Linked DNA regions of Anolis sagrei. The protein of the gene in region 3 binds, or shares a complex with, the protein of the main gene of each other region. Links are inferred from orthologs where the notes say so. Each region holds a gene or a part of one and is shown on either strand. Other genes may lie near its edges.

What was found.
Region 1: CACNB1 (region 3) and STAC3 share a complex: the UniProt entries of both Homo sapiens proteins name them as parts of the calcium channel complex. The link is inferred for Anolis sagrei from reciprocal best matches to the Homo sapiens genes CACNB1 and STAC3.
Region 2: CACNB1 (region 3) and CACNA1C share a complex: the UniProt entries of both Homo sapiens proteins name them as parts of the calcium channel complex. The link is inferred for Anolis sagrei from reciprocal best matches to the Homo sapiens genes CACNB1 and CACNA1C.

What each region holds. Positions count from the first base shown.
Region 1 is NC_090022.1:185,456,439-185,464,324, forward strand, and holds the start of STAC3 (SH3 and cysteine-rich domain-containing protein 3), read right to left. Parts: upstream 3,159-7,886; 5' UTR 2,933-3,158; intron 1-2,932. UniProt on the Homo sapiens protein: Required for normal excitation-contraction coupling in skeletal muscle and for normal muscle contraction in response to membrane depolarization. Required for normal Ca(2+) release from the sarcplasmic reticulum, which ultimately leads to muscle contraction.
Region 2 is NC_090025.1:179,275,940-179,283,318, forward strand, and holds the start of CACNA1C (voltage-dependent L-type calcium channel subunit alpha-1C), read left to right. Parts: upstream 1-4,099; 5' UTR 4,100-4,442; coding exon 4,443-4,581; intron 4,582-7,379. UniProt on the Homo sapiens protein: Pore-forming, alpha-1C subunit of the voltage-gated calcium channel that gives rise to L-type calcium currents. Mediates influx of calcium ions into the cytoplasm, and thereby triggers calcium release from the sarcoplasm.
Region 3 is NC_090026.1:43,878,480-43,885,993, forward strand, and holds the start of CACNB1 (voltage-dependent L-type calcium channel subunit beta-1), read left to right. Parts: upstream 1-4,215; 5' UTR 4,216-4,583; coding exon 4,584-4,670; intron 4,671-7,514. UniProt on the Homo sapiens protein: Regulatory subunit of L-type calcium channels. Regulates the activity of L-type calcium channels that contain CACNA1A as pore-forming subunit.

The DNA.
Region 1 (7,886 bases), on a different chromosome or scaffold from region 3:
TGTTTAGATCTAAACACCCACTCCTAGAGTTCCTAGTCAAGTCCAATACAAGCTATTTACCTTTGATCTTCTTTTACTTTCTGTTAAGGCTGGAGATTTGGTCATTTTCTGTTTTTAAAAGTTTCATCCAGTTCAAGCAAACAGAATTCACGTGTATAGATCCATTTCTAATATGCATTCCAATAAAGTTTTGTCTAACTCAGCATAGGACCAGGGGAAGCAATAGGTGATATTTCAGGGTATAACTCTCCTTAAGGGTTTCCAGATTTTGGGGAACTACTGTGCTTTCCTGGTTCTCCAGATAAAGACACTGATCTCAGGATGAGCAATGCTGGAGTGATATTTTTAGGTATGAGGTGGCCTTAAAATGTGGGTATGTGCCTCCACCCATTCCCAGTTGATATTGTGATTCATTGGCTCGTCTTAAAAGCGTTGCATGCATAATATGTTTGAGCAGCCTCGGTACACCGAATAGGGGAAGGCGCTAGGGTGAGACACAGTGAGTGCTCACACTGAGGCTCAACGTGGTAATTTGGAGCAAGGCCCAACCCTATGACATCACAAGAATCCTCTCCCTGGTTCCAGGTTTTGGCCCTGAAATCTCTGGGATGCTGTTCGCTTGGCAACCTTGCTCTTATCACTCTCAGGTGGCATATGATCAGTGTTCAAGGAGCCCCTGGTGGCGCAGTGGATTAAACCCCTGTGCCGGCAGGACTGAAGACCGACAGGTCGGTTCGACTCCGGGGAGAGGCAGATGAGCTCCCTCTGTCAACTCCAGTTCCTCATGCGGGGACATGAGAGAAGCCTCCCACAAGGCTGATAAAAGCATCAAATCATCCGGGCGTCCCCTGGGCAACGTCCTTGCAGACGGCCAATTCTCTCACACCAGAAGCCACTTGCAGTTTCTCAAGTCGCTCCTGACACAACAAAAAATAAATAAATCAGAATTCAGAGGTTAAAACAGTTTTAGTTCAAAAAATCTGGATGGCACAGAATGAACAGCACCAAGGGTATTTATCAGTTATATGGATTTATAACTAATCTGAGTATTCCTGCATTACAGGAGGTTGGATTGAATGTGCCTTGTGGTTCCTTCCAATTATACGATTCTGTATCATCTATTCTAAGGTCACAGATCCTTGGAATGTTGTTTAATTTGAGTGAGTGCTAAGAAGCAAAAACCCATAGAGCTATAATTTCCAGGATTCCTGAGAGTTCACAACTGTTGAAGAAATTTAACTCTGCAATAAAATCTGCTCAAAGGATGGCATCAGACTTAGAAAGCTATGATGATATATGTTCCAGAGATGGAGTTTATCTGATCAAGTGAGACAGTACAGAAGTTTCTCGACAGATTGACACTCTTGTTTTCCATGCCGCACTGTTTTTCTCAAGAGGGTATGAGACAGAGTCTGGAAAAGTTTGAGCAGGGAGGTTAGATTACAATTCACAAGACACACCAGCATGGCCAAAGGGGAGTTGCCAGGAGTAATTCATTGTCAAAAGAAACTTGTACACAAACGGAGTGATACGTCATCATGTGGTCATTAACATTTGATGAGCTCAGACAGCATCCAGCACTGAAAAGGTACAAACAAATACCACACTCCTTTATAAACTAGATGCTGGGAAGTCCAGTTCCTTAATCATGGATGTGTAAGGACAATCTGTGCTAACTCAAAAATGAGGGAAAGGCATTCTCCACACATTCTTTATTATTCTTACTCCAGATACTTTAGCTTAGTGTAAAAAATAGTGTTGATGCTTACCCAACACAACTTCAGCCCCAGGTAAAAATCCAAATATATGCTTCTAAACATCTCACTAAGCTGACTGAAAATACATCAAGCTGCACATTTTTCCAAAATTTTCTAAAAGTATTATTAGTAATGAACAGAAAGACTGGACCACAATATCACACATGGAAACAATTCTTGGCCCTCAAGGCAATTCTTTTCTTTTGCTTCCCAGTATCCCATTTCCGAAGCCTTTATGACAGTCAAGGAGTGGCTAAACATGACACAAGGTACTTGTGTGCCATTACCCACGTCATTGGCGGGACGTAAGTGGAAAAGCATTTTGGCTTTCCATTCTGTAACTGCTCTGGTGTCTGTGTGTCCACAAATGGATCCAAATCTCATAGGAGCCACCCATCTCAGGTTCCTAGAGATTTCATCATGGCTGCCTGGAGCTCCACCAGAAACTCTCCATTACATGGTTGGGACACCAAAGAACAGCCTCCAGCATAGAACAAAGAACATCACATGCACCATATTGGTGTAAAACTCAACTTCTTGCTTTGAACATCTGAAATAGCTGCTTTCCCAAGGACAAAATCTTCCTTGCTCTTCAAAGAGGAAGGACAAGCCCGCATGTAATCTCCTCAGAGCTTCTACAAAGGGCCAAAAACGTCCTTCCCTGTCTTTTCAAAATGGCAAGTGACTGAGAGGTACTAAACTTTCCCTGCTTAGCAGCAAATTTCATTGGAAATTATCCGTCTGCAGAAATCAGGTGACAAAAATGAGCATGCTTTGGGAATGTTTCAATCTTTGTTTACAAAAGCTTTGGTGGGAGAGTTTCTGTATGTGTGAGAATCCCACACAATCCTTAACTGATAAGACTATAGGAAAACAGAACATTTCTGCAGTATTATCTGTCCTTTGAATCTCTTCCTACCCTCAGCCAGAAAAGGAGTGTCAACCATTTTATGTTTCAACAGACTGAAAGACATGCATTTATCCATCTTATGAAGCCAATCAGATTAAAATGGGTAAAATACACTGGCAATCAAGAGGACAGCTTTTCGACAGTTTGCGTGAAAAACAACTGTCATGTTCATAAGCATTAAAACTCCAAAAAAATTTCAGGTCTCCATGTAGGGGGAAAACAGACTATACCAGTACCCAATGGGGGAAAAGTGGAAAGCACTTACCTCCAAGAATAAAGCTACCACTTTCCAGCAGATTAAATCCTTCTGAAAAATATCAGACACTCCTGAAAATTCACTTTCTTCTGTCTGGCCCAATATCTCACTTTAGAGATCCATAGGAGATAAAGAGTTTCCCCTTGCCAGGACTTAATGTATAAAAGTTTGCTGTCCCAGCACCGCGAGGAACTCAAGTGACAGGGTGAGAGGGGAAAAGACAGCTGCCATCCATTGGGAGGGCTGACACAGAGAAATTGGACACTGGCAAGGAGCTTTAGCATGAATAGTAGGCCAAACTGCCTGAGACAGCAACGCAACAGCTCAGTCCACTCCCTGGGGATTGGTAGGAACTGTCAAAATAGTGTGTATGAGAGAGAAAGATGGAACCTAACTACGACTCATTTGCCTATGAGGTCTCAAAGAGACATTGCTGCCTGGATCACACATTCACCAGCTCAGATCTACAAATTTGTACCTCATCAGGTCATTCCAGAACAAGATGGCAAGGGAGGGAGAGAGGCAGGAACATGGAGAAGACATTGGACTAGAGCTTTGAAAAACTGCTGGGGTTGGGGAGGGGTTACAATTCCTTGTCAACCTAACCCATTGTTCTCCCCTAAGGATTTTGGGAGTTATAATCCAAAAAGTTACTTCAACAAGCTGTGCACAACGCACATACACACAATCCTAATATTTCCTCTATGACCTTTTCCGTGAAGCTTATCTTCCTTACAGATAGAAGTGCTTCACAAAGTACAATAGAGTTTTGCTTATCCAACATAAATGGGCCAACAGAATGTTGGATTAATGAAAGTGTTGGATAATAAGGAGGTATTCAGGAAAGTGCCTATCAAATGTCAGATTATGTTATGATTTTACAAATTAAGCACCAAAACATCATGTTTGGCAACAAATCAACAGAAAAAGCAGTTCAATACATGGTAACGTTATGCAGCAATGATTGTATTTACGAATTTAGCACCAAAACATTGTAATGTATTGAAACAGCTGTGGATCGAGGCGGGAGGCAGACTGCATTAGATAATATAGAACGTTGGATGAGCGAAGGCTAGATAAGCAAGACTCTACTGTACAATGAACAAGACTGACTTCCACATTTATTTATTTTATTTAGGGCATTTGTATCCCATCCTATCTCAACCCCTGCAAAGGGACTCAGGGCAGCTACCAACTGGCCCAGCATAGTGCCAACAACAGAGTAAAACAAGCATAAATATACATATTATAATAAAACAATATAAAAACATTTAAACAGTTCTCCAATTTAAGTCATCATCCTAAAACCAGTCCAACATAGTCCATTAAAACCATTTCTTTGCCAGCAAATCAGTCTAATGTGTGAACGCTTGATCCCACGGCCAGGATTTCACTTTTTTCCCGGAAGGTCAGGAGTGATGGAGCAGTTCTGATCTCATTTGGGAGGGAATTCCATAGCCGAGGGCTACCACCCTCGTTCCAGCCAAATGCGATGGCAAAGGTGGAGGGACTGAGAGCAGGGCCTCCCCAGATGATCTTAAGATCCTAGGTGGTTCATAGAGGGAGATACGTTCATCAACTGTAAATGTGCAAAGTACTTCAATGTGGAGGAATAAAGACATCATCCAAGTACTGTAGAGACAGCATTATTCTTAGAAAATGACTAAGGCAGTAATGGTGGGGTGGGCTGAGAAAATGTAGTTTGCTTAAGGCTGCCTACTAATTTGTCGGCAGAGCAAACAGAATCCAAGGCGCACCTAGGACCCTTCCACACAGCCCTATATCCCAGAATATCAAGGAACAAAATCCCACAATATCTGCTTTGAACTGGGTTATCTGAGTCCGCACTCAGATAATGTGGGATTTTCTGCCTTGGTATTCTGGGATATAGGGCAGTGTGGAAGGGCCCCCAGTTCAAATGTCAGTTTCTCTGGCACTGGGGCTATAATCTTATAACCTCTCACATGGAAACAGTTTCCACTCAAGTTAAAGGGACATATTCCTGAAGAGACATTGGGAAAATTGAAATAAAAGCTAAATTTGCTATATTCTGTAATGTTTTGGTAATTCAAAGGGCCCTTCCACACAGCCCTATATTCCAAAATATCAAGGCAGAAAATCCCACAATATTTGCTTTGAACTGGGTTATCTCAGTCCACACTGCTATATATTCCAGTTCAAAACAGATGTAGGATTTTATTCAGCTGTGTGGAAAGAACCTTAGCCTTGGTATCAGAGAGAGGCGATTAGTTGTAATGGGTCAATGATGCAGTTTCATTGCTCACAAAAAATTATGCCTCTTCTCAAATCTAGAAGCCAAATTAATTGTACAAAACATGCATATGACATTTTACTGTTTTGCATAATTTATAAAGAATTCTAAGTTACTTGGCAAATTCAATATGGTTGTTTTTGAAGCACAAAAACATAAAACGGTTCTACAAATCAACATATTCTGATTTGCAGATCTTTTAGATTAGGGCGATAGTATAATTGAATAACGAATCAGATAACGCTACTATCTGTCTTTTAAAGAAGGACTAAATTAACTTCTTCAGCATTCTTTGATTAATTTCTTCCAACAAGCAGAAAAGATCGGCCAAAGTCTGCATTTTACATTTCCATATAGTTAAGATCTGATACATTGATGAAATTACATTGCAGCCTTCAAACATACCCCATTTAGACATTTTATCTAGGTGAATATCTAAAATGAATAGATTCTGGAGCAGAAGCTTGCCTGGAAGTCAGTCTCCAATCTGGATGTTCTTAACTCTCAATTCTGTATGTTGGCCAGTGCTGTGATGTCTGCATATTTGAGGGAAGTCATTTCATCCATTATTCCAAGTTTGATCCATGACTTTGAGAAAATCAAACTAAATTTTGATCCCTTTGACTCCATCTCACTTCAAAATCCAGAAGAAAGTGGATTTGTGCCTGCCCACTGAATAGATTCTTTCATACCAATATTAAACACATAACAGCTTCTCTTATGCAATATACCAGGTTAAAAAAAATCCTTAAAGTTTTGTCCCCCAATTACAAAATCACTAGTGTTCATTTTTGATCTAGTCAAGACCCTTTCAAAATGCTTTTCAAGTCAGTGGTGGTACAGTCAGCCCTCTTTATCCACAGATTATGCATTCACAGATTCAACCATCCATGGCAAATACCAAGGGTGCTAAAAATACATTTTAAGATAGGAAAAGGCAGAATTAAAATTGTAATAATATATATCACATCACAAACACAAAAGATAAATACAAGTCACATTTGGCTTCTGCAATTACAAGAGGTGCTCAAAATAGTTACCATCAGCTTCCAGACACTTCTGATTATGGTGGACTATGCCTGAGCATCGTTGACCAAAGTGTGCACTAGTATCGCTGTGCATGCCATTTCAATTTATTCCCAAAGTATTGCCAGTGTAGCAGGTTTCTATGGTACATCACATCCTTTAAGGTCTCCACAGATCAGTGGTTCCCAACCTGTGGTCAGTGAACTGCCAGTGGTCCAGAATGAAAATATGGTCTGCGGCTTAACCATTACCATACAGTTGCCTCAAAACCACGAAGCAACAAGAGTGATTGGTCTTGCAAAACCCTCTTATAGTCCTAAGGCAATGGGGATGTCGGTAGGGGAGAGGCTGACTACCCACGAAAGATTACTACTACCACAGCTGGCACGTGTTCTGTATCAGAAACTAGAGCTGATGTGGCCTTTGCAATGCAGTTTTCTGAATCAGCACCCCAAATAACCAAACAAATCCAAAGTTGACTAAAAACTGATTCGTAATCCTTTTGGTACTAATGTTGGAGAGTGGTCCCTGGTCAAAAAAGGTTGGGAACTACTGCCATGGAGTGTTAAGTCAAGGGGTGTTAAGTCTGGAGAACGTGGGGGAAATTTGGCTGCACCTCTTCATTCTTCTGTTCAATTTAAACTGTGCTTTGTCAGATCAAATCATTTTCTCCACAAACTCATCCTTCTATACTATTTTTTGGAACCAGTCACAGTACTGAACCCTGAGATCAGGGCTGTCTTCATTCAGTGCATGTAATAATCTTGAGGTGAAAACTTCCCAATTTACTGATTTAAGAATGTGCCAGCTAATTCCTGTCTCATGTGCAATTTGATTGGTAGACATCTCCGGTGAGTGTGTAAACTGTTCCAACATCATAGGAGAAGCAGGACTTGTTGCTGTGCAACGTCTCCTGAATCTTCCCTTGTGCACATCACACACAGCATCATGTGTCTCAAACTGATCAGGAACAACTGCATTTGTTAGACACTTTGGATGTTCTGTTGCCTCTATTGTTGTTTTACTTCCACAGCATTCTCAAACTGCAAATAGCATTTCAAAATGGTTTTGTGCTCCTTAAACAACAACCATGCTTTCAACATTTTCTTTGATCACCTGCCTGTCTCATAGTGATGATAGTATTCATTTGATTAATGCCATCTTTTGAGCGAATGTCATACTACACATTGCTACTGTAGTTCAATTCACCATTAAAAATACATAAAATGTGTATACATTTTGCACCCTCTGTATTTAAAAAGATTCCCAAAAGCAAACCTTAATTGTTCTATTTTATATAAAGAACACAGTTTTGCTACTCTGTTGTACATAATGGGACTTGAGCATCCATGGATTTAAGTGATCACTGGGAGAACTTATGTATTTTAGAACCAACCTCGAAAGGATATTAAGGGCCAATTATACCAATTATTGACTGAGGTTGCAACTAGTTTTTATCCTCAGTCTAATGATGCTGCTTCAAACAGCAGCCCAATGTCAATTTCTCCCATCCTTCTCAGAAAGGTTCAACCATCCTTAAAACATGACACTTCTCTACCTCACAAGTCAATGATGCAAAGTAGAGACAGGGAAACACACAGGAAATTAGTTCTACCTTCTTGTGGGGTTGTCCTTTTCAGCAACGGCCTTTTGAACTGACACCAT
Region 2 (7,379 bases), on a different chromosome or scaffold from region 3:
CTTGAAATCATATGTGCTAACTAGAAATACAAAGTCTGTCACTACTTCCATGTTTTCTCCCTTTATTTGCCAGTTATCAATCAGTCTGATTGCCATAATCTTGGTTTTTTTAAAAAATATTTAATTGCAACCTAACTTTTGCACTTTCTTCTTTCATCTTGGTTGTAAGGCTATTCAGCTCCTACTCACTTTCAGCCATCACAGTCAGGCCCGTAGCCAGGATTTCGATTTTGGGGGGGGGGGGGGGGAAGCTGAGTTGTTTTCAGGGGGGGTTTTCGGGGGGACTGAGTTTCAGGGGGGGCTGAGTCTGAGTGAAAGAGGGTCTACCCTAGCAAACCTTTTGTATTATTACCCCAATACCCCCATGCATATGGGATATATTGAGTATGGTGATCAGATCTCTAATGGTATTCCGCAAAAAAGTGAAGACCTGGCTGTTTGTGCAGGCATTCAAATAACTAGTGCAATGATTGGTAATGAACACAGGAATGGAACAATGGATGACGAATCTGGATTATGGTTTTGATGATGAGACGATAGTGATTGGTTACTGTAGTAATTGTCTAATTTATGTAATTTGTTAAGTTGTTAAATGTTTTTATACTGTTTTTTTGGTTGTGAACCGCTGTGAGTTGCCTTCGGGCTGAGAACAGTGGTATATAAGTAAAGTAAAGTAAAGTAAATAAATAAATATGAATAAACATAACAGTTTAAATAATGCACCAGTAAGGCCTTTTCGCGAACCACCATGAGAATTTCGGGGGGGGGGGGGGGGCTGAAGCCCCTCAAGCCCCCCCCCCCCCCCCGGCTACATGCCTGATCACAGTGGTATCATCTGTATAGCTAGGATTGGTAATGTTTCTTCCAGCAATTTTAACTCCAGCCTCGGATTCATCAAGCCCTGCACAAAACCTGATGTGTTCTGTATACAAGTTGAATAGGTAGGGTGAGAGTATACAGCCCTGCCATAGTCCTTTCTCAATCTTGAACCAGTCTGCTGCTCAATGGCCTATTTTTACTATTGCTACTTGGTCATTATACAGATTCCTCAAGAGACAGGCAAGGTAGATACAACAGGGCCTCCCAACACATACACACATCTCACCCCATTTTGCTTCAATCCCAATCTCGGCTACAAGGCACATAGGAAAAAAAACCCAAATTATTCCTCAAAAACACCAGACTAAACTGGAGGTGTTATTTTTATTGCTTCAAAACATTAAGCAAAAGATCAGATTTCAAAATGAATTGGGAAGAACAGTGTGTGATATATCAGGACTGAAATCATGGTAAAGCTCCATTATTTCCCATGTGAAGATTCAGCCCTAGAAAAGAACAGAGAACGTTTCCCCTGTTTTATCCTGGCTAGCATACTCTGTTTCATCTGCTATCTTTAACTAACAAGCATTTCCAAGAACTGAGACAAACTTGCTGATAGCAATTTTTTTTAGGGATGACTCAGAAGTTCATCTTTCCCTTTGGAATAAGTCATGGTTGAATAAGATTTGGTTCCACCTCCTATTTTGAAAGACTCTGATACATCTTGTACCCTGCAGCCCAAGACTCAGCAGCTCAGTTACAGTCATATGCAGCTGGGCCTTTTCTATGAACAGCTGCAGAATAGTTTAAGCCTCCACAGTCTTACTTTCCATAGATGAATATGAACCTCAGTTGCAGATAAGAGTTCACTGGAATAGAGCAAAAGACTGAAATAAGCTGGTTAATATCAAAGATGTGCCCTGAAGTCAGTGGAACTAATGAGAAATGAGCCCTTTGAAAACTGAAGCCAGGTGTAATAATTTTGAAATGCTGAATACACCAATGTTTTTTTTTTCCTATAGTTTTTCATCAACAGTGTTTCCCCCTCCTCTAGTATGTAATCCTTCACCACATAAGACTTTCATGTCAGGACCATTTTGTACTTAACTGATTGACTTCTTAAAGATACTTCGTAAGTACTTAGAGGTATATGAAATAATGCTCCACACAACCAAACAAACTGAAATGTAATCTATGCAATCATTCCAATCCATGCTCCTGGTCAGTTGAAAGGCAGATGTGTGTAGTGCCATATTCTTCAAAGGTAATTTAAAGATGGGTTTAAAGCTAACCCTAAAAATGTGGTATAAACACTGAGAACTGGGAAGGACAAATGGTTCCTCTTCATCCTGGAAAGAAGTGACTAGTGGAGTGCTACAGAGTTCAGAAGATTTAGGGTGTGCTTATCAAGTTTGCAGATGACACCAAATTGGGAGGGATAGCTAATACTCCAGAAAACAGGATCAGTATTCAAAATGACCTTAACAGATTAGAGAACTAGGCTAAAATTAACAAAATGAAATCCAACAAGGACAAATTTAAGATACTACACTAAGGCAAAAAAAAATGATATGCAGAGATACAGAATGGGTAATGCCTCGCTCAACAAGAGCCCATGTGAAAAAGATCTTGGAGTCTTTGTGGACAAGTTGAATATGAGCCAACCGTGTACTGCAGCAAGAGATACTGACAAACTGGAAGGCGTCCAGAGGAGGGCAACCACAAGGATAAAAGGTCTAGAGACCATACCCCATGAGGAGCATCTTAAAGAGCTAGGCATGTTGTAGGTTTTTTGGGCTGTATGGCCATGTTCTAGAACATGGCCATACAGCCCGAAAAACGTACAACAACCCAGTGATTCCTGCCATGAAAGCCTTCAACAATACAGAACTAGGTATGTTTTAGGTATGTTTAGCCTGCAGAAGAGAAAGATGAGAGGAGGCATGATAGCTATATATAAATATGTGAAGGGGTTTCATAAGAAAGAGGGAGCAGACTTGTTTTCTGCTGCCCTGGAGACTAGGACTAGTGGCGTAAAGACCTGGGCATGTGGAGCTGAGAGGAGACACGGTGGCCATGTGTAAATATGTGAGGGGAAGTCATAGGGAGGGGGGAGCAAGTTTGTTTTCTGCTGTCCTGAAGACTAGGGTGCACAGCAATGGGTTCGAATTACAGGAAAGGAGATTCCATCTGAACATTAGGAAAGAACTTCCTGACTGTTCAGCAGTGGAACTTTCTGCCTCTGAGTGTGGTAGAAACTGGATGGCCATCTGTCAGGGATACTTTGATTGTGCTTTTCCTGCATGGCAGGGAGTTGGAATGGATGGTCTATGTGGGCTCTTCCAACTTTATTATTCTATGACCATGGTTACATACTTAAATATCTCTGTCCACAAAGAATGGCATAAATTATATACTTTACCTAAAACAAGTAAACTTCATTTCCTTACTAATGTCATGGTTAGGTGCACAGGATTTATAGCCCTATAACAGTAATAATCATGTCCAAAAATCATGTCCAATGGCCAAATCCCAAAGAATTTGGATACTTAAGAAATAAAAAGACAATATTAAAAGCAACTTGGATTTTTAACAGTAGCTTGAGCACTTGTACATTATTTTATAAGAAATGAATACTATGAGATCCAGTTTCTAGTGAAACAGACTAGTAACCAGATATAATTTTATTACTCATTTGCACAAAGTCTGGCTATAAAGCGAAGGCAACAAAGCCATTAAAGCATGCTGTTCCATCATGATTTACAGTCCCAGACACAGTCCTTCACCATCTTCTGAGGCCAATCTCTGGAGCCATTTGCAATCTCAAGATTAATTTCACTGGAAAGGTTGCATAGTTACAGAGTAGACTGCATTCCTTTCCTTTTAAGGGGATGCTTGTCTGCCCTTATTTTTTTAATTGCTGGAAAATATGTGAAGGCTAGTGTTCAGTACTTGCACTAAAGGAGGCACTTTACATCAGTCATGTTGCTCATAGATGAAAGAATCTAGACATTCATTGCATGATCTACATGGCATTTTGCATCTCTTAATTTCCTTGTGTTTATTATTACTATTCATAAGTATATTGGACTGGATCCCTTTTAAAGAAATGTATGGTTTATATCTCTGGAAAAAGACAGTTTCACATTGGGTGAAGCCCAGAAAATCAAACAACCCCTTTAGGAAGCCAACTTGCTCCAAATACATGGTTACATTATCAGAGAGACGGTGGTGGTGATGTATGAAAAGCAGAGACCTCCATGACTCAGGGAGGTGATGAACTGACAGGCAGATGGAGCCCGTTATCTTAACTTCTCATTCCAAGTTTTCCTGTAAAACTAGTTGAAGGGGAGAGGGCTTTTAAGCAAGTGCGAGACACAGAAAGTAAAAAAAAAAAATGGGGAGGAGGAGACTGAAAAAACAGATGGGCAATGCATGAGATGGTGCTTGCTTTCTAAAGTGCATGACTGAAAAGTCTGCACAGTTGGAAAGTTTTAGACTTCACCAATTCTGTGGCAACTAGGTTTGGATATCTCTGAAGTCTCCTGAATTGTCACTATCAAGGAGAGTTTGTTGATGCTATTTATCTATTGAGCCTAGAAACATTCATTTGGAGAAACAGGATGTTTCAGAACCTGGTTCGGCATGCGACCTCGGCTTATCGTCCGCTCCCCACGCACCATCCAGGGGAGCCAGGAACAAAGTATACTGGCAAGATGGTCCATGAAACCCAACTCAGCTGCTTCTATAGTCCACCTGGAGGTAAGGGGCTCAAAGTGGCATGCTGTGTATAACCTCATAAAGATAAACTTGGATTTTATGCTATATAAACATGTTTTATAAATACTTGAGTAACTGATAAGGTATTTCAACCCCTTGCTGCAAAATATGCAACATACTGATCTATGGAATTCGGGGGGGGGGGGGGATCATAACAAATCCTGTTGTGTTTTGAATACTTCATGTCTAGTATTTTTGTCTAGATTACATATGAAAGTGAATTTCTCTGGAATGGGGAGAGATGGACCTAGAATGCCGTATTAACAAACAAAGTTCAGGAGCAGGGAATGTACTAGTTTGAGAGAATAATGCAATTTATACAAATGTTAAATTTTATTTATTATGCAGAACCTACTGAAAGACAATTTGATACACTGAGGACTAGTGAATGCAGAATATAATTCATATCAGATACCATTTAATTTGTGCATTGTCATTATTTTCAACCTCAACATTGCTATACTACATAATTTTGTTTCCACTGTTAAAAATAACCTGGCTGTTCTTTTGCCAGATCTTATGTTTTGCACTCTTGTTTCCTAACATGCATTTTTAAAAAAATCTGTCCCCACTGAAATTAAAGTGGTTTGTGCATAAGCACCTTACCAAAGGGCTTGTAGACTTTTGAAACTGACTAACAGATGTTAAACCTGATTAAGTTATTAATTATCGAATCTCTCATTTTTGAAAAGTTTTTAAGTCATGTGGAGTTTCCATTTTACCTGTTTGGATAGAATTAGAACCTATTTTGATGAGTATTCTCTAACACTATGGAACAGGGATAGTAAGCAATCTGACTTCTCCCCAGCCTTAACTACTATCAGCTACTTATGGTTTTTCTTATCGCAACAAAATCTAGGATTCCTCCAGTGGGTAGAATGTGCTTAATAAAAAATATACATCTAGACTAGAGTGGTGTGTTACACATGTTGAGAAATCCAAAAAGGAACAATCTGATATATGGCAATACGTTTTGTTTAGTTTTATGAATGCCATTCATATCTCCAATGCACAACAAGTGCTCAGAGTATCTATCCACTTTCACTTGTCTTAGATTCCTCCCACGTCCAATTGTAATGCCATCAAGCCTCACTGTTGACAGTCCACATAGCAATGTTATCTTAGGCACTTCAGTCCATCTCCTCTCACATGGCATTGTTCTGATTTGATATAATATTTATTTAACACTAATTAAAGCAATATTGTAAACTATTATAATTTGCTTTATATATGTATGCATGGTTGGTGATGTTTACTGATACGTTTCCAGAAGAAACAAAGTAGATAATCCCATAAATTATTTAAATCATTTGAAGTAATCACTTTTACCACTATATACATTACTATATACATAACCTAGCCTACATATAAGCAAACAAAACTGGAGTGATTCAGACCGCAGGTTTATATAGCTCAGTTGCTGTCAGGAAGCAATTCTACAAAAATTAAATAAATAGGAAATTCTCAAGTGAGAACAGAGGGAATGGAACTTTTAAGAAAACTTTGCTACTTTGCCTTTTTTCTGAATAAGGGAGCACATGTCATGGTCACATCCAGATTAGATTACTGAAACAAGACAACCTTGGAAGAGTGCTTGGAAATTTCAGCTAAGGCAGAATGTAGCAGCTACAATACCACTTGAAGCCTACTGATTTGATCACTAGTTTTGCTGTTGGTCCATTCCAAGCTCAGTTTGAAGTGCTAGATATGACCTTTAAAGCCCAAAGTGGTTTGGAAACTAGATATATTAAGAACTGTGTACATAATCACAGCTTCAGTAGAGCCTTGTTCCTTTTATCAGTAACTAAGAAACAATGTGTGAATAAATGGGAATAGTCCCCATTAATTTATGCTATATAAACATGTTTTATAAATATTTGAATGACTGATAAAGTATTCCAAAATTATAGCTTACAGTCTATAGCAGTAGTTCCCAACCTTTTTGACCAGGCCCCACTTGAATGGGGCCACTTGACCAGGGACCACTTTGACCAGGGACCACTCTCCAATATTAGTACCAAAAGGGGCAGGGCTGGTTAGCTCTGTGGAAAGGAACGGAAATATAAATAAATAAATAAAGAGGAAGGAGGTTCACAGACTGGATTTTTGTTCTCGTGGTTCACCGCTGGGCCACAGCCCACAGGTTGAGAACCACTGGTCTATAGTGTACCAGATAACCAACCTATGTGTATATATAGATGTCAGGGAATGACATCCCCCAAGAATCCGTTAAAATTTTGGATCTATTGGCAAACTTTGGCTTCTTTGAAAAACCGTCAGCACCTGTTTATTTTTAATGGAAGAAATCTTAAACTTCCAAACTGATACCATTAAAAATAAATCGAATTAACATAATAAGCAAAATTATCAGTTTCAACCCAAACAATGCTGTTAAATTTTCTAGTAATTAATACTAGGTATGTAATAGTGGGTATGTGTTCTGAAAACCTAGATGTTGATCATTACCAGTCTACTCTTCCATTTAGAGGAAAGTTTTGAGATGGTTTAGGTTTCACATGATGAATGATAAGGCAAGTCAATGTTCCATATTAAAAAAAACATGCCCTCAAATATGTCTCATAATTCACTGCAAGGCACTGGGCTACATAACAAATATACATTAAGGCATTCCCTAGGTAAATGTGAATCTAGCTAATCCAGAACAACTTTTGGAAAATGAAACACTTTTCCTAAACATACAAAGTTGTTTAAACCAAACTGAAGACATTTCCTGTTTAAATAATCTATATGTTAGTTACTAACTACCTCATTAGATGGGG
Region 3 (7,514 bases):
ATGAACTATAAATCTCAGCAACTACAACTTCCAAATGAAAAAAATCAAATTTTTGAGTGAAAGACATACATTGGGTTGTTAGGTATCTTGTGTCCAAATTTGGTGTCAATTCGTCCAGTGGTTTTTGAGTTCTGTTAATCCCACAAACGAACATTACATTTTTATTTATATGGATTCTTACTGGTGTTAAGTACCATTTCCATATTAACTTATAATTAACTTATAATTAAAACAGCAATTCCTAGACGACACAGCCGGACTAGATCCCTTCCAGTCCGGCTTCCGTGCGGGGCACGGGACAGAGACTGTGCTGGTCTCCATCACGGATCACCTTCGATGCCAGCTTGACCAGGGCAGGTCAGCGCTGCTTGTGTTATTGGATCTCACAGCAGCATTTGACACAGTCGACCACAATCTTTTGACCCACCGCCTTGCTGTTGCTGGAGCCAGGGGGACAGCTTTAAACTGGCTGTCCTCCTTTCTTCACAACCGTGGACAGCGAGTGGAGAGGGGAGGCCTGGTCTCTGAGAGGTCCCCTCTATCTTGTGGGGTTTCTCAGGGGGCCATTCTCTCCCCCCTGTTGTTTAACATCTATATACGTCCACTTGCTCAGCTGGTTCGAGGTTTTGGGCTTGAGTGTTATCAGTACGCCGATGACATTCACCTGGTACTGAAGATGGAAGGCCGACCGGACTCTGTACCCGATTGTTTCCATCAGTGCCTCGAGGACGTTATTGGATGGCTGCGTGCCAGCAGGTTGAGGGTGAATCCAGCAAAGATGGAGATCCTATGGCTGGGTCGACCGGGCAGTGGGGACATCCAGCTGCCTACCCTGGTGGCGAGGCACTACGCCCGTCATCATTGGTAAAGAGTCTGGGAGTCCTTTTGGACCCTCTGCTGACGATGGAGGCCCAGGTCTCCGCCGTTAGCAGAACCGCCTTTTTTCATCTGCGGCAGGCTAGACGGCTGGCTCCCTACCTGTCCAGGGACGACCTAGCTACAGTGATCCAGGCCACGGTCATCTCAAGACTGGACTACTGTAATGCCCTCTACATTGGCCTTCCTCTGTCGGTGATCCGGAAGCTCAAGTTGGTACAAAACGCAGCTGCTCGGCTTCTTGCGGGAATTCCGATGAGATGCCACATAACACCAATCTTACTACAGCTGCATTGGTTACCAATTGAGCACCGGATCACTTTCAAAGTGATGGTACTCACCTTTAAGGCCTTGCATGGTCTGGGGCCGATGTATCTGAGGGACCGCCTCACCCCCTACCAACCCCAGAGATCCCTCCATTCTGAGGACCAAGATCTATTGGAAGTCCCCAGTGTCAAGACCTTGCGCCTAACAGCAACCAGACGCAGAGCCTTCACAGCAGTGGCACCGTTACTCTGGAATACTCTGCCACCTGAAGTCCATGCCTTGCAGGACTTACCAGCTTTCCGCAGGGCATGTAAGACATACTTTGTTTCGACAGGCTTTTAATGTTTGATATTGCTATTTTTAAATTGTTTTAAATGGCTTTTAAAAAATTATTATTATTATTATTATTATTATTATTATTACTTTATTTGTACCCCGCTAGCATCTCCCGCAGGACTTGATGCGGCTTACATAGGCCAAGGCCTCAAAACACAATACAACAATACAATACCTAGAGCAAATTAAAACAGTTAAGCAGAAATAAACAACAGCAATAACAATACATCGAAACATCAAGACAATATAAAACTGGGCCAGGCCAGGGTAATGGGTACAAGATTAAAAGTGCTGATGTAGCAGGAGGTATGTAGGATTATAAAGTAAGTGTGGTGTGCGGTGTGCAGCAATCTTAATTCTGTTAAAGTGCTTCTAGGACTTGGTATTGGGGGTTCCTAATCTGAAAAGGCACATCGGAACAGCCAGGTCTTCAAGTTCTTTCTGAAGACTGCCAGCGAAGGGGCCTGTCTAAAATTTTGTTAGATTTTAGCCATTCTTGTAAGCCCCTCCGCAGGCCCATAGCCAAAATTTCGTTTCGGGGGGGGGGGGCTGATTTTTTTTCGGGGGGGGGTTCGGGGGGGGCTGAGTTTCGGGGGGGCTGAGTCCGAGTGAACGAGGGTCTAGCCTAGCAAACTTTTTGTATCATTACCCCAATACCCCCATGCATATGGGATACATTGAGTATGGTGATCAGATCATGATATGAATAAACATAACAGTTTAAATAATGCATCAGTAAGGCCTTTTCGCGAACCACCATGAGAATTTCGGGGGGGGGGGTTGAAGCCCCTCAAGTCCCCCCCTGGCTACATGCCTGTCCAGATCCATCATTGTTTGAGTCCGCAGTTATCTCTGGATGTAGGTAAACTACAACTCCAAAGCCAAAGGACACTGCCCACCAAACCCTTCCAGTATTTTCTGTTGGTCATGGGAGAACTGTGTGCCAACTTTGGTTCAATTCCATCGTTGGTGAGGTTCAGAATGCTCTTTGATTGTAGGTGAACTATAAACAGGCCGGTAGCGAAGGGGGGGGGGGGTTAAGGGTTCAACCCCCCCCCCCCCCCCGAAATGTTTCAGATTTAAAAAAAAAAAACTGGTTTACTCATGAATTTGAACTGGTTAACCAAATCCCCATGCTAAGTCTATGAGATGCAAAAAATCAAGAGTCCCTCCAGAACTGCAAGCACTATCTCAAGCAAATATTAGCAATTTATTCACACTGTCATTACTTGCAGCAATAGCCAATGTAGTTGTTCTGGTACAGCTTTATTTGCTTTGTATTAAATGTTTGCTTGCAGTCCTAGGTTTCAGGGACTCTGCAGAAAGGTGGCTTCTTTGGTTGCAGTCATAGGGCAAGTCACCTGTCCATCATCGTTAAATTTTGGTCCCGCCCCTTGCTCAGGGCAATTGGGAAGGGAAGGGAGCCATTTTTAGTTAGTCTCAGCAAAGTAAGCTTATATATAGGATGAGTGCAAGCTTCCCCTGTACAAAAGCTTCAACCCTTAAGACTTTCCAGGGGAGAAAGGTCTTAAGAGTCTCCAAAGAATTTCCAGGACCAAAGAACTCCAGCTGGAGAACATCTACTGCCTTGCTAGTAGGTCCACTCGGCGTTCGAGACGCAGTTCGACCCGGTAGCAGAGCCCACATCAGTAAGGGTTAGATTACAGTTAGCCTGGGAGAAGTTACGAAGGGGATTTTTCTTTAAAGAAGAAGTTATTGAAGACAGTTGCCTGTCCTTCGTGGGCAAGATTAGGAATTCACCAGTTGCCTAAAAGCTTGGAATCATTTGCTTAACTTTACTGAAGACAAGAGAAGTTTCTGTTTGATTGTTCATTAATAAAAGACTTTGTTGTACTTCTCAAGCCATCTAAAGATTAGGTTCTTGTGGGTTTTTTCGGGCTATAGAGCCATGTTCTAGAACATGGCTCTATAGCCCGAAAAAACCCACAAGAACCTAGTGATTCCAGCCATGAAAGCCTTCGACAATACATCTAAAGACTGTTTGTGGTGGAAACCTCTGAGAACTTCTCTTTAGGCCCCCTGGCTTCCCGCTGGGCAAAGGTTGCACATCCTGTTCTAAAGACAATTATTTACAGGCCCAATGCTCGACAGAACAGTACTGAAGCAACCAAGTTGGGGGGGGGGGGTGGAATGTTGAATGCTCTCATTAAGGAGGCCAGACTTGGTGGAGGTGGTTGACAAGGGCGGAGCTGCAGGCTATTGAAGGCTGCTCTGCCCCCTGCTGTGCTCTTTGCCCCCCCCCCTGCGAAATTTTCAACCCCCCCCCCCCAAATTTAAACCCCTCCCAAAAAATTTTTCTGGCTACGGGCCTCACTATAAATCCCAGCAACTACAACTCCCAAATGAAAAAATCAAATTTTTGAGTGAAAGACATACATTGGGTTGTTAGGTGTCTTGTGTCCAAATTTGGTGTCAATTTGTCCAGTGGTTTTTGAGTTCTGTTAATCCCACAAACAAACATTACATGTTTAATTATATGGATTCTTACTGGTATTAGGTACCATTTCCATATTAACTTATAATACTTTTTCCAAGCAGTCTTCAAAGGTTCTTCCTAATGTTCAGATTGAATCTCCTTTCTTGGAGTTTGAAGCCATTGTTTCAGAAGAAGGGCAGATAGGAGCAGCAGCAGGTGGATGCTGATAGGATGATGGCCTTGGAGGCTGCCCAGGAGGAGGGAGGATGGGAGGCTGGTTTGGGGCAACCCAAGTAAGGCTGGAGCCAGCCCTCCATCTCCCCTCCTCCTCCTGGGCAGCCCCTCCCTCCCATCTGCGCATCCCCCTTGGGCTCAGCCCACCCCACGCCCACCTTGCCTTCCCTCTCCCTTTGGCAACAGCAGCAGCAGCAACAGCCACCACCGCAGGAGCCTCTCCAGCCTTCCCTGCTGCTGCCAGGAATTGCCTTGCGCCCTCTCTTCTTCCTCCATCCCCGCCTTGGAGAGGGCAGCAGAAGCCATGCCGAGGCGACGGGCGTGAGGAAGGGGCTTGTGCCAGCCCCCGGGGGCGCCCCTTCCTCCCTCCCCGGCTTTGGCACCATGAGCCCGGCGTCGTGAGCGCAGGCGGCGGCGGGCAAGGGGCATCTCCATGGTGCAGGAGGGCGGCATGTCACGCACACCTTACAGCTCCAGCCAAGACATCCAGATGGAGGTCTTAGACAACCCTGGTCTCCAGGTGAGAAGGGGGGGGGGAGCAAGAGGGAGGGGGGAACTTTGGAGGTGGAAATATCACCTTCTGGAAAAGGATGGATGGGGAAAGAAGGGGCCAAAGGAATCAGGGAAGGGCTGATCTTCATCCACCCTTTTTCCCCTGGTTGAATTCGTCCCTGCTCGCCCACCCCTCCCTTGTTTCTCAACACGTACAGACAAGCAAGAGAGAGATGATGCTGGCAAGGCTTTTGCTTTGAGCCTCCCCAGTGATGAACAGCCATCTAAAGGGGTTAGGAAGTATTTGAAAGGCAACCTCAGAGGGATGTGGGATTCCTAGATTGGGGAGAAGGGAGGAGCAGCAACAGAGGCAGGAATGGCTGTTGAGTCTAGCAGTCCCTTTGATGCCTAGGGATTGCAACTTCCACAGAGAGAGCCCTTCTTCTCCCTTGGCACTAAGGAGAAGGGCTCTCTGGTGTCTAACTAACCTAACTAGGTTGTTGTGGTTTTTTTGGGCGATATGGACATGTTCTAGAAGCATGAACTATGATAAAATAATTTTTAAAAAATTTAAAAAAGAAATAAAATTAAATTTAAAAAAGAAGCATTCTCTCCTGACGTTTCGCCTGCAACTATGGCAAGCACCCTCAGAGGTTGTGAGGTGTTATCTGCTTTGATAATCTGGTTCTAGAAGCATGAACTATGATAAAATAATAAAAAATATATATCTAAAAGAAATTAAATTAAATTAAAAAAGAAGCATTCTCTCCTGATATTTCGCCTGCAACTATGGCAAGCATCCTCAGAGGTTGTGAGGTGTTATCTGCTTTGATAATCTGGTTCTAGAAGCGTGAACTATGATCATATATATATATATATATATATATATTAAATTTTAAAAAGAAGCATTCTCTCCTGACGTTTCGCCTGCAACTATGGCACGCATCCTCAGAGGTTGTGAGGTGTTATCTACTTTGATAATCTGGTTCTGGAAGCATGAACTATGATAAAATAATAAAAAATATATATTTAAAAATAAATACAATTAAATTTTTAAAAGAAGCATTCTCTCCTGACGTTTTGCCTGCAACTATGGCAAGCATCCTCAGAGGTTGTGAGGTGTTATCTACTTTGATAATCTGGTTCTAGAAGCATGAACTATGATAAAATAATAATTATATATATATTTAAAATAAATTAAATTAAATTTAAAAAGAAGCGTTCTCTCCTGACGTTTCACCTACAACTATGGCAAGCATCCTCAGAGGTTGTAGGGTGTTATCTACCTTGATAATCTGGATTATATGGCAGTATAGAAGGGGCCTTAGTGTGTCATACAGTCTGCCTTGTATTTCCCAACTAACCAAATGTCTTGTCGAAGGCTTTCATGGCTGGAATCACTGGGTTGCTGTATGTTTTTCGGGCTGTATGGCCACATTCCAGAAGCATTCTCTCCTGACGTTTCGCCTGCAACTATAACAGGCACCCTCAAACCTCACAACCTCTGAGGATGCTTTGTCGTAGATGCAGGCGAAACATCAGGAGAGAATGCTTCTAGAATATGGCAATATAGCCCGAAAAACCTACAGGAGGTTGCTTGCCATAGATGCAGGTGAAACGTCAGGAGAGAATGCTTCTAGAACATTGCATATAGCCCAAAAACCTACAGGAGGATGCTTGCCATAGATGCAGGTGAAACGTCAGGAGAGAATGCTTCTAGAACATGGCCATATAGCCTGAAGAATCTACAGGAGGATGCTTGCCATAGATGCATGCCAAACATCAGGAGAGAATGCTTCTAGAACATGGCCATATAGCCTGAAAAACCTACAGGAGGATGCTTGCCATAGATGCATGTGAAACATCAGGAGAGAATGCTTCTAGGATATGGTCATATAGCTCAAAAAACATATAACAACCCAGTTATTCCAGCCATGGAAGCCTTCGATAAGACATTAACCTAACTAGCTCGCTCGGGGCTTCCGCTTCCTGATTTGATTCAGACACCAGGAAGGCCCAATTAGTAAACAGCAAAATAAAGCAGGAGAGAGTCATAAAACTGGTTGGGTTCCCACCCTGCACTGTTTCGTGCAAGCGGATGATCTCAACTCAGTGCCTGTTCATCTATCTTTCCAATCCATCCATCCACACATGCAAACAGATGACAAAGCCAGACCCACAGAGGGACTTTGACAGTGTGCCTCTATAAAGTTAAGGGAGGGCATGGGTGATTGGGTGGGTATTATTGGATGCTATCGAACACATAGGAGCCCCAGTGGCGTAATGGGTTAAAGCACTGAACTGTTGAACTTGTTGACTGAAAGGCTGGCAATTCGAATATTAGGAGCGGGGTGAGCTCCCGCTGTAAACCCCAACTTCTGCCAACCTAGCAGTTCGAAAACATGCATATGTGAGTATTTATTTACTACGTTTATATACCGTCCCTCTCAACCGACTCGAGGCGGTTTACAGTCGTTACCAAGACCATAAAATACAATTAGAATACAATGAAAAACATTAAGATAATGTAAACCATAGCATCTATATAAATAAAAATGTAATGTTCGTTTGTAGGATTAACATAACTCGAAAACCACTCAACGAATTGACACCAAATTTGGACACGATACACATATCAGGCCAACGAGTGCCCATCACTCATACAAACACTGAAAAACACAGCAGAACAGACTTAAAAAGCAAAAAAAACCTAAAAAATTACAACACATATATACACAAACACACATATATAGACATATACACAAATATATACACACATAAAGCACATATACACAGACTGGGCCACAGCAATGCATGGCAGGGGATGGCTAGTCTATATAAATAAAAATATAATATTCATTTGTGGGATTAA